Tamandua tetradactyla: one gene and its partners. The protein of the gene in region 3 interacts with the protein of the main gene of each other region in a pairwise test. Links are inferred from orthologs where the notes say so. Each region holds a gene or a part of one and is shown on either strand. Other genes may lie near its edges.

What was found.
Region 1: the proteins of TRIM23 (region 3) and GPKOW interact in binary tests that used the Homo sapiens proteins (3 or more experiments, as listed by UniProt). The two-hybrid records come from large-scale screens. The link is inferred for Tamandua tetradactyla from reciprocal best matches to the Homo sapiens genes TRIM23 and GPKOW.
Region 2: the proteins of TRIM23 (region 3) and BRME1 interact in binary tests that used the Homo sapiens proteins (3 or more experiments, as listed by UniProt). The two-hybrid records come from large-scale screens. The link is inferred for Tamandua tetradactyla from reciprocal best matches to the Homo sapiens genes TRIM23 and BRME1.

What each region holds. Positions count from the first base shown.
Region 1 is NC_135353.1:121,049,956-121,053,703, forward strand, and holds the start of GPKOW (G-patch domain and KOW motifs-containing protein), read left to right. Parts: upstream 1-1,173; 5' UTR 1,174-1,236; intron 1,237-2,664; 5' UTR 2,665-2,702; exon of another isoform or gene 2,703-2,769; intron 2,770-3,748. UniProt on the Homo sapiens protein: RNA-binding protein involved in pre-mRNA splicing. As a component of the minor spliceosome, involved in the splicing of U12-type introns in pre-mRNAs.
Region 2 is NC_135337.1:88,891,801-88,895,548, reverse strand, and holds the start of BRME1 (break repair meiotic recombinase recruitment factor 1), read right to left. Parts: upstream 2,753-3,748; 5' UTR 2,714-2,752; intron 2,708-2,713; exon of another isoform or gene 2,533-2,707; intron 2,428-2,532; 5' UTR 2,368-2,427; intron 1,859-2,367; 5' UTR 1,838-1,858; coding exon 1,807-1,837; intron 1,349-1,806; coding exon 1,313-1,348; intron 1-1,312. Other genes in the region: CC2D1A (coiled-coil and C2 domain-containing protein 1A), read left to right, coding at 3,129-3,188. UniProt on the Homo sapiens protein: Meiotic recombination factor component of recombination bridges involved in meiotic double-strand break repair.
Region 3 is NC_135335.1:113,430,947-113,434,694, forward strand, and holds the start of TRIM23 (E3 ubiquitin-protein ligase TRIM23), read right to left. Parts: upstream 2,246-3,748; 5' UTR 2,170-2,245; coding exon 2,089-2,169; intron 1-2,088. Other genes in the region: TRAPPC13 (trafficking protein particle complex subunit 13), read left to right, coding at 2,870-2,915.

The DNA of each region.
Region 1 (3,748 bases), on a different chromosome or scaffold from region 3:
GCCGCCAGGTAGGTCACCGCACGGGGCTGGGCGCCTGGCCGGGAGCGGCCGATCTCAGCTGCGTCCAGGCCCAGGCCGGTCGCCAAGTGAGCGTGCCCCGGAGCTCGAACCGCGTCGCTGGTGGCCCTACGTCCACCCGGCCGCCTCCGGGCCTTGGAGCCGCGCCGGGAAGGCGCCACGGACCCTAGGGGAGGCCGAGGAGGTACCAGGGGGAGGAAGAGGGGAGCGCGCTCTCTGCCCGCGCCCTCGCCCGGCCTTTCTTCCTGCAGGTTGTAAACGCAGCAGTTCTGGCGCCCAAGTGGCGGCGAGCAGCGGCCCAGCTACCAGGGCTGGGCCCGAGACCCCCTACCCACACCTACTCTAGGGGTCCGCGCCCCAGATCCCGGCTCACTCCGGAGTCTCCGGGGAGACGGGCGCGGTCGGGCTTCCCGGTGTCCCTGAGCACACCCCGGCAGTCAGGATTTGGGGTGAATGGGGGCTTGAGGAGGAGCTCGGGGCCTCTGCAGAGAGAGAGTCTGCAGTTCCGGGGAATATCTAGGGAATCGGGGCCTCCCAAGGGATTTGTGCAGGGTGGCTGAGGACCCCAGGATATTTGGAAGCAGATTCGGGGATCCCGGGTTTCCTGGTGTCGACATCGCGTCTCGGGACATCTTGGGGACATCAGGGTCTCCGGAGATATTGAGGGGGGCGCATTTGGAGCCCCAGGGAATTGGGGAGCAGTCGTGGACCTCCAGAAGCATGCAGCGAGTGGTTGAAGGTGTCCAGGAATAGTACAGCGAAACGGCTGTCTCCAGGGGCGAGTGGAGTTCCACGGGCATACCCGAGACGGTCGGGGGGCGCGGGAGAGGTTGAGGGGCAGTCGATGTCCTCCGGAACTATCGAGGGAGTGAGTGGTCAGGGGTGTCCGGGGACCTCGAGGGGCATCTAGGCTTCGGACGTCTGGAAGCATGGGGGTGTTCCGAGGCTGAGGGTGGGCGCTGACCTGTCCCCCTCCCGCTCAGGCCGCGGCCCTGCCCCGCCCGCGGGCGCCAGCGCCCGGCAGCTCCTGGCGCGGCTCGACGCGCGCCCCCTAGCGGCCCGAGCTGCGGCGGACGTGGCGGCCCTGGCGCGCAGGGCAGGAGCAACATTGCGCCTGCGCCCCAAGGAGGGTGAGTGACCCTGCCGCGGTCCTCTGGGGAGGCGGGGAAGAAGGGGAGCTGCTGGGTGCTTTGGAGGCGGCAGGACCCAGATCGTTGGGTACTTCCCCTGGTTGGGGCCCAGAGGCGTGAGTTGAGGGGGCGGGGCTGGCATCGCGTCCCAGGGGCGGGACCCGGTGTTATCCTAGATTGTTAGTGTAGGAAGTGCGCCGTGCATGGGTAATTCCAGTAGGCAATGCCAGAACTGTAAGGGGGGTGGGCGGGGCGGGCCTGGATAATTATTTCCGCCAGCGGGTCTTCGATTGTTGTTTTCTGAGGGGGCGGGTGCTGGAGGGTTATTGCGGTGAGGAGATAAAGTAGAAGAGGGGCGTGGAATGCCAGTTAAGGAGCAGACGGTGCTTGAAATGTCAGGCATTTTTGAGGTTCAGAGGGCGGGCCTGGAATGTTTGGGAGCCCAATCCTGGATTTTCACTCTCCCAGGTGTATCTAAGGGTATTATTTGAGGGGATGGGATTTGGGGCGTTTTAGACACGGGCTGTAGTATTATTCACATAGCCCTGTCTGGGATTATGAATTAAGAGGTGGGGTCGATATACACACAGTGGAATACTTTTCAGCCCTAGAAAGGAATGAAGTTCTCATACATACTACAACGTGGATGAGCCTTGAAGACGTCAGTTGAGTGAAATAAGCCAGACGCTAAAGAACAAATATTGTATGATCTTATTATATGACATAATTAGAATGTAGGCTGCCAGTGGCAGGGTGGGGAGTGGGGAGTTAAAGGCTTACACTGTACAGTGTTTGTTTGGAGTGGTGGGAAAATTTGGTAATGGTGATGGCATCCCAGTACTGTGAATGTAATGAATAACACTGGTTTGTATACTTGCGAGTGGTTGACATGGGGAGTTTTAGCTTGTATATGTATTGCCACCATTAAAAATACAACCCGTAGAACTGTACAACACAAATTTTGAACCCTAATATAAACTATGGAGTTTATTTAATAATATAATTATAATGTTATTGGTTCATCAATTGTAACAAATGTTACAATATGCAATGTTAACAATGGGAAAAACTGGGTGTGAAGGGATGTGTATGGGAACTCTACTTTCTGCATGATTTTTCTGTAAACCTGCAACTGGTGTTCTATAAATACATACATATTTTTTTGTTGTTGTTTTTTACATGGGCAGGCACCAGGAATCAAACCCGGGTCTCTAGCATGGTAAGGGAGAACTCTCTGCCACTGAGCCACCGTTGCCCGCCCTTAAAAATATGTATTTTTAAAAGTGCTCTAAAATAAATTAAGTGCTCTAAAAATAATTGTTTTAAAAACTTTATGGTTTTTTTGTGGTGCAGACCTAGGATGATTACTTGAGGGGTGGGGCCTAGATAGTTCTTTAGGTGGGCAGACCCGGATGTGAGTTCAGAGGGTTGAAAATGGCATGTTAATTTGTGGGGTGGGGTTTCCGTGGTTTATCCAATTGTACTCAACTGCGTTCTTATTATGTTCTATCCTTAGTTGCTATCCTGCTGGACTCTGCAACCATCAACATCATGGTTAGTTGCCTGCCCCGAGTCCGCTTTGCCATCCGCGTACAGGTCCCAGCATGACAAAGACAGTAAGGTCTGAGAAACAGTGAACATTTTGGGGGGAACTATGACAGGCCTAGGGTGCTGGAGACTGCTTTATTCAAACTTGGGGAGGGGGCGGAAGATGAGGATCCTAGCAGCTGAAGGAGAACAGTGGACAGGGCCTCACTGAGAATCCCGGGCAAGCCCTGAATATAGAGAATTGAGTAAGAACCCAATTGGGTAAGAAGGGCAGAGTGGCTAGGTTCAAGTGTGACTCTCCACCACCAGCTTCTTGACCTTTTATACTTCATTTAATCTCTGTATGAAAAGCTTAATTGCCTGAATATAAAAGTAATAGATTAATATCTTAAGGATGAGAACTGTGTAAAGTCCATATTTTTCTGTCGTTATCTCTTCTTTCTGACTTTAAAAATTTGTAGAAATTGGGGATGCGAGGGTACGTCAGTGGAAGAATTCTGGCTTACCATGGGGAGACTGGGGTTCGATTCCTGGCCCATGCACTTCCCAAACAAAGAAAACAAACCAACTAAAATAAACAAAGTTCAACAAATGATGCTGAAATAACGGGCTACTCACATGGAAAAAGAATGAAATGTGACCCTGCCATACAGCATACAAACAAAAAAAATTGTAGAAATTTGATTTAACATATATGAAATCATGGTAATGTTTTAAATCCTACTTTTTCAAAACTATTCTAACAGCTTTATTGAGCTATAATTCACATGCCATATAATTCACCCATTTACAGTGTACACTTTGAAGGTTTTTAATATATCCGCAGGGTTGTACAATCATCACTGCAATTGTAAATTTAGAACATTTTCCTTTCCCTAAAAGGAAACCCATACCTACTAGCAATCACTTCCTGTTCTCTAACTCTAATTAGCCCCCCCCAAGCCATAGGCAACCAGTAATATATTTTCTGTCTCATAGATTTGCTTATTCTCAACACTTAATAAAAATTGACTACTACAATATGTGGTCTTTTGTAACTGGCTTCTTTCACT
Region 2 (3,748 bases), on a different chromosome or scaffold from region 3:
TTTTGTTGCTCAGATGTGGCCTCTCTCTCTTCAGCCAACACAACAAGCAAACTCACCACCGTCCCCCTGTCTACATGGGACATGACTCCCAGGGGTGTGGACCTTTCTGCCAACGTGGGGCAGAAATCCTAGCATAAGCTGGGGCTCAGCATCAAGGGATTGAGAAAACCTTCTCGACCAAAAGGGGGAAGAGTGAAACGAGACAAAATAAAGTGTCAATGGCTGAGAGATTCCACAGGTTATCCTGGAGGTTATTCTTACACATTAAACAGATATCACCTTGTTAGTCAAGATGTAATGGAGAGGCTGGAGGGAACTGCCTGAAAATGCAGAGGTGTGTTCCAGTAGCCATGTGTCTTAAAATGATTGTATAATGATATAGCTTTCACAATGTGACTGTTGTGATTGTGAAAACCTTGTGTCTGATGCTCCTTTTATCTACTTTATCAACAGACAAGTAAAACAAATGGAATAAAAATAAATAATAGGAGGAACAAATGTTAAAATAAATTTAGATTGAAATGCTAGTGATCAGTGAAAGGGAGGGGTAAGGGGTATAGTATGGATGAATTTTTTTCTGTTGTCTTTTTATTTCTTTTTCTGAATTGATGCAAATGTTCTAAGAAATGATCATGATGATGAATATGCAACTATGTGATAATATTGTGAATTATTAACTACATATGTAGAACAGAATGATCATATATTAAGAATGTTTGTAAAAAAAAGAATGTTTGTATTTGTTACATATTTTTTAAAAATTTAAAAAGAAAAAAACTGAAGAAAAAAATGGCTTCTAAAATGGCAAATTTTACATTATATCTATTTTGTGACAGTAAGAAAAAAGTCAGGCAAGACATATTAATAGCACATATTTAGGTACTACCTGTGGTCTGTTCTCAGTGCTTTAAAATACGCACTCATTTAATCTGCACAACAGCTCTATGGCAGGGTTTCTGAGCCTCAGCACTCTTGGCATCTGCAGCCGGATCATTCTTTGGGGTAGGGGCCATCCTGTGCTATAGTTATAGGCTGTTGGCAGCATCCCTGGCCTTGACGCCAGCAGCACCTTCCCCCCACCAGCAGCGATGACCAAAAATATCTCCAGACATTGCTGACTGTCCTCTGGGGGGACAAAACTGCCCTGGCCGAGAATCACTGCTGCCACTGATTGCTATGGCCAAGGGACAGGGGATATGCGGTTTCTTAAAGCAAACAGTTTCTGCTCTGGCTTGTGGTAGATGTGGGGACAACTGGTTTGGCAGAAGCATAAATGCTGCGGAAGCAACTAGTAAAGTCTCACTATACTCACCTTTGGCTAAATCCTTGGAGATGAGATTTTCTTCTGCTATAAACAGAAAGGGTAGGTGCGCTTACTATACCTGATTTATAGGAAAGGAAATGTTATGCCTATTTTGCCACAGTATTTTTCCCCAAGGCACAGAGGAACTCATTCTCCATCACAAAGTGAGTGAGCCAGGTTTATGAAACCAGTGTGTGTGGTTCCCGAGTGAAGCAACTGGCCACAAAATGGACTGGCTTGCATTTTAGCCCATCAAGCTCTAATTTGGGGGACATCTCTGGCACTAGGTTCCAAGACTGCTGTACCCCTCCCCCAAAGCCTACAGACTCCAAAAAGCTGTCACATTTCATTTTACATACTCCTTCAAAATCTGTATCTTTTTCCTATTAGCATGTATTAAGTCATTTTTCTTTTAAGGAACCTGGAGTGGTCCCATTTGCATTTCTGCATATCCCCCCTATATGCAGAAGCAGCAAAAAAGCAGTGTCAACCTGGACAAATACCTGAGGTTCGAAGCTTCTTCCTTTTACTCATCTCAGCTTTCCCTTGAGAAACCTGAAGACAACAAGCAAAGACCTTCCATTATAACAATCTGAGTCAGTGGTTCCAAGAGCAGATACCAGCCCCACCCCACTGGGCTGTCCAGCTGCCCCAAGGGGTTCATGGGACCCAATAGGATACAAGGTGGGGGTCACAGTCTTTGTCCATGGCACAAGATCTGCCACCTTAGCCAAACGCCAGGTAAAAACCTCCACGTTGCAGTGGGACTGCCCACCTTATGTCCACTGACCCAGGTGAGTCTGGGCAGCATGTGGGCATAGGTGGTCCTCTGTGGGAAACCCTCCTCTAGTTCCCCGGGCTGCAACAGCCTGTGCCGAGCCCTGAGTTCCTGCTGGGGTACCTAGAGCCATTCCAGGAGCCACCGGGGGTCCCTTTACTTGAACACCTGGGACTTTTAAGGGGGCTCTTAGATGTCTTTAGGGAAGGCTTGGGCCCTTGGAGGAGCAGCAGTGACCCACGGACCCATTTCTTTCAGCCTCGAGTCCCGGTTAGCCAAAACCCACCTAGGCCAGAGAAATTGTGGAGGTCCCTCTGAACTTGGCAGCAACTAGCGCTTCCTGGATCTGTTAGGGTAAAATCAGTCAAATTATGTGCATTAAATTATTTTGAGAAAAAAAGACAAAACTAATGCTTGTAAGGAGTTGAAGGAATGGAGGTCGAGGACTGACGGGACGGGAGGCCTGAGGCCTGGCGCTGTGGAACCCCGTTTTTCGGCCACTAGACCCGCATTAACCCTACACCGGACCCTGAAACATGAGGACTCCTCAGGCCCGGCCACCCAGGTGGGACCGGCGCCCGCAGGTGGCGAAGGGAAGCCGACAACCGCGCAGCCGCCACCGCCTCTCACACCTGCACACGCTCCGCCTCTTTCCCGCGCAGCGCCAAGGCAGGCAATGCGCATGCGCGACACAGCCCCCACCCTCACGTTCCGCCTCTTTCCCCGCGCCACCCACGATTTCACCCGCCTTCCCGCTCTGCGCATGCGCTCCTGCGCGCTGTCTGTCGGGAGTTGTAGTTCGGGCGGCGGACCTGGCGAGTTTAGTGGCCGCGCTCCCTTGCGGTGACGGCTTCCCAAGGGCCGAGGCGGAAGTGGGGCGGTCACCCCGGGGGGCGAGAGCGAGGGCGCGGGGCGCTGAGAGAGGGGACCCGCGTCTCCCGTGAAGAGCGCGTGCGCGGGAACAGGCCCCGGCGCGTGGGGGGGGCGGTGAGGAGGCAGGGCAAGGCCGGGAGCCGGCGCCGGTGGTCTGGGGATCCAGCCTAGACGATGCACAAGAGGAAGGGACCCCCAGGACCTCCGGGCCGAGGCGCCGCCGCCGCCCGCCAGGTGAGTTAGTGCCCCCTCGGTCCCGCCCGATGCACCTTCCCTACCCCTATCACACGCTTGGGGGGGGCCCCACCCACCAGGGGCGCTGATCCCCGCCCTCCAGGTGAGACCCGGTCCCCGGCCCCCCCGCCCCCACCAGGGGAGGCCGCTCACCCCTGGCCTTTCACAGTGCGGCCTCCAGGGCCCGGCCCCCCCAGCTCCTGCCGTCTCGTTCCGGGCTCGGGGCCACCTGTTGCCGCAGCAGCTCTAGGTCGCTAAGGCCAGGCCCAGAGTTCCCCATCTGCACAGTCATAAAATCTCACCAGTCCTGATCTCTGACCAGGTGACAAAATAGAGATGAAGACACCTGCCCAAGGTCATAGGGATTAACTGCTTGACCAGAAATACAAATGGAAAGCTGCTTTCCTCGAGCTCCCCAGGACTGTGGCTGAACCTCTCCCCTCCCTTAGCTCCTGTACCCCAGACACCCAGCACCCAGGCGTTCAGCTTTTCTCAGCTTTGATGGAGGGAGCCCAGGGCATGGTTCAGTGACCAGGCCTTAGTCTGGTAGGCCTAAAATT
Region 3 (3,748 bases):
AATTCCAGTCCAATGGATACCCCAAAACAACTTACAGAAGGACTCAAAATTGAAATCAGAGACCACAACCGCATTATTTACAATCGCCAAGAAGTGGAAACAACCCCAGGGTCCATCGACAGATGAGTGGGTAAACATGACATATAAGTACAACAAACTATTGTTCAACCATATAACGGAATGAAATTCTACATGTATTTGCTACAACCTGGATAAACCTTGAAAGTATTATGTTGAGTGAAACAAGCAGACACAAGGAGCAAAGATAGAATTCCATTTACATGCAATATCTTGAATAAGCAAATTCATAGAGACAGAAAGTAGATCAAAGGTTGCTGGGGCTAAGGAAAGAAAGAATGTGTAAAACGTTTCTGTTTGGAGTGGGAGAAAAGTTTGGGTAATGAATGAATGCGATGGTAGCACATGAATTTAATTAATACTAGTACAGTATAACTTAAAAATGGCTAAAATGGGAACTTCTGTGTTATATATACTATCACAATAAAAAAAAGACTAAAAAAAGCCATGTTATATATTATTAGTATTTTACGCTTGACCTTTAATGTATTAATGTATTAAGTATTAATGAATACTTCTTACATTCATCTATGAAAATGATAAAAAGATTTTTAAATTCATAGCACCATATTTGTTTAGGAATTGTGGCATGACCATCTTGCCAAAAAGGTCTACTTCGTGCATGGGACCAATATATTTTACATTTAAAGAACAAAATGAATAAAATAAGACTCTAAGAAATTCAATTTGTGCTATAACAAACTGGAGTTATATCAGACTATAGTATACTTTTGATATTATAACAGGATAACAAAAATAGAGCAATGATACCCATTTCAGTTATAGTATAAAATTTCTTAAAGTTGATTCTCAAAATAATCTGCAGGTATGCCCTCAGAAAAAGCACAATAAATAAAATCTCAACCATACAATATGCCTAGTAATAATATCTACATCTCGGTTATGCTGTGTACCTTCAGAATAACTTCATTAGTATATAACAGTTACATAAATCATCAACTACTAAAACTGATTAATGCTAAACTGTGGCCAGAAATGCATCATTTACTGTCATAAAAAAAACATTAGGTGAAAAATCACAGGTATCATTCAAGACCTTAAAATAACTTCAGATATTATCTGGCCCAGTGGTTCTCAACCCTGGTTGCAATTACAATCTCCTCAGCGGGTTTTAAAAAGATGCTAATAACAAATGAATCAGCATTGGGGAAGGAGGATTGCATCTGCAGCTGTTAAAAACTCTTCCGTGATTCTAATACGCAGCCAGGGATGAGAAATACCAATTCCTTAGATTTCAGGTGATCCTGAAGGTCTCTCTAACAGCCACTGAAATCAAGTCTTCAATTCCATATATAGATAGATAGATACATGCCAAGAGGAAAAATGAGTCCCACGTATTTCAGGCGGATTTTTAACAAAGGCATTTTGGACTACTTACATACACACCGTAATTCACAAACACTAGCGTTAAGGCCGTGCAACGCTGCAACTGGAGACTCCTTAAGCGCGGACGGACGGCACTACCAAGTGCGGAGGAGGCAGTTCAACCAAGAATAGACACCGCAGTACAGAACCAGTGCAGCGGGGAGACGTGCACACTTCAGAAGCCGCCAACCCTGGCTCTACCGCACACTGCCACCTACCCCAAATCAAATCCTCATCTGTAAAACGGGGATCAACATCGGCCTCACAGATATTAACGACCGAAAGCACCTAACACTACCTCACAATATCCCAATTTAATAAACAATAAGCGAACTAATGCCTGTTACGGTAAGCCAAAACCCGGGCACAGGCAGCTCGGGTCACTCCCACAATCTCCTTTTCAGAAACGTCCCCGCTGGCGACGTCCAGCACAGGGCCGGTCCGAGCAGGAGACCAGACAATCTCGGGCCAGCGGACCTCGGGTCGCGAAGAGCAGCGCACGGCTCGGCACGCCCGGGGGGCGCAGAGGCCCCGCACCCTTCCCTTCCACGCCTGGGCCAGGCTTTCGGGACGAGCCCCGAGAAACGGAGGCCGACGGTGGACAGAGCACGCCAGGTCCCTCACCTTCACCACGGCCGTCCCTCGGCTGCCCTGCCGGCCGCTGTCTAGACCTGCGCCGGGCTTGTTTACAACCAGGGCAGCCATCCTGGGCGCAGCGGAGCGGCAGAAGCAGCCTTCACGGGCTTCAACGCGGCGGCGAAGGCGAGCCACCTACCCAGACGCCTCGGCGACCGCGGCCGGCGTGGGGCGCGGGACGACGCTGCGCGCGCCCGGCCGGCGGCCGCGGACCGGTTCTCCGCGCGCCGCGTTTTGTTCGCTCTGTTTTTATTGTTTGACTGGTATTAAGGAATGTGCACCTGCTAGGGGAAAGAAAGTCAAGAAAAAAGGATGGGATAAGACAGAAGTAAAATCTGTGAGTGAAACTTGCGCTTTTGTAAAGAAGTCTCGTCCCCACTGCCAGACCGGGCGCAGGAACTACATTCCCCTAAATGCAATGCGGCATTATAAGAACTACAAATCCCAGCATGCCGCGCCTCGCTGCTTACTCGCTGGGGAGGGCATCTGGGCGGCGGTGTATGGTTACCTGGAAGTGGTTTGATATGCGGTTGTAGCCTGAATATGGAGAAGTATTTCATGTATAGATATCTAAGAGACAGGGATTACCTTTGGTGAAAAGAAGCTGTTGGAGCCCTAAAGAACGGGGTAGAGGGAGAATTTAAGGCACCGCTGGCTGAGAAGCTGTTAGAAGTGTTTGACGCGCGGGCTTCCCGAGCGCGCGCTTCCGTGTTTTCTTCTGGGCCGGGCTGAACCTCTGCGGCCCCCGTAGGCGGTGGTACCGGTCAAGATGGAGGTGAATCCCCCCAAACAGGAGCACCTGCTGGCGTTGAAGGGTAAAGTATTGCTAACTTGACGCCCCTTATTCTATTTTTGTTTGTTTGTTTCCTTTTTCTCACTGATTCTTGAAGCCTTTGACATGTAGACTTGGCGTCTGAGGTGTAGTCCTCGCCTTTCTTAAAACGGCGTCAGGGCTGTGCCTCCTGCTCTGCGCCAAGGGACCGAGCGGGAGGAAGCGATTTCGCTTCTTCGCTTTTTAGGCTTGAGAGCCGCCCTCTAGAATGGAATGACACCTCGTACATTACCCTCTCTGATCATGCCCGTGCGATCATCAAGCAGAATTTAACCGCAGAACCTGCTGTATGGACTCTGTTTGGTGATTTCCCCCTTGAACGAGGGTGATTTACAGCGTGCATCCAAAGTGCTTTTCATAGTCTCAGGTCTCTTCGTGTGGCACTGACAGAGTTACCGGGCTGCAGCTTCTTCTGTAAAATTAGTGTAGTATTATGACAACAGTGCCAAGGATTTAGAAATACACAGTATTACACCATATAGCTGAGGTTTGTTAAAACTTACTTTATTTCAAAGCATTATGTATAGGGGAAATAGGTCCAAGATCTCATGTCAATTTTCTATTTTTGTACACCTAAAAACAATTTTTGAGTAAGTTTAACGATTTAATTAGGTCATTATTTAAGAGAAAAAACAGCAGGAATTTAAGGTTTTCCTGGAATTCCTATTGGTTTCTGAAGACCTTTTATTTGAAGTGTTTCCGGCCTTAATTCATGTTTTTTACTATCACAAATGCACTTTTTATTTTTAAGATGCTCTAATATGTGGATACATTTTTGGATTGAGCTACACAAGTGCTCAATGGGCATTTTAATTC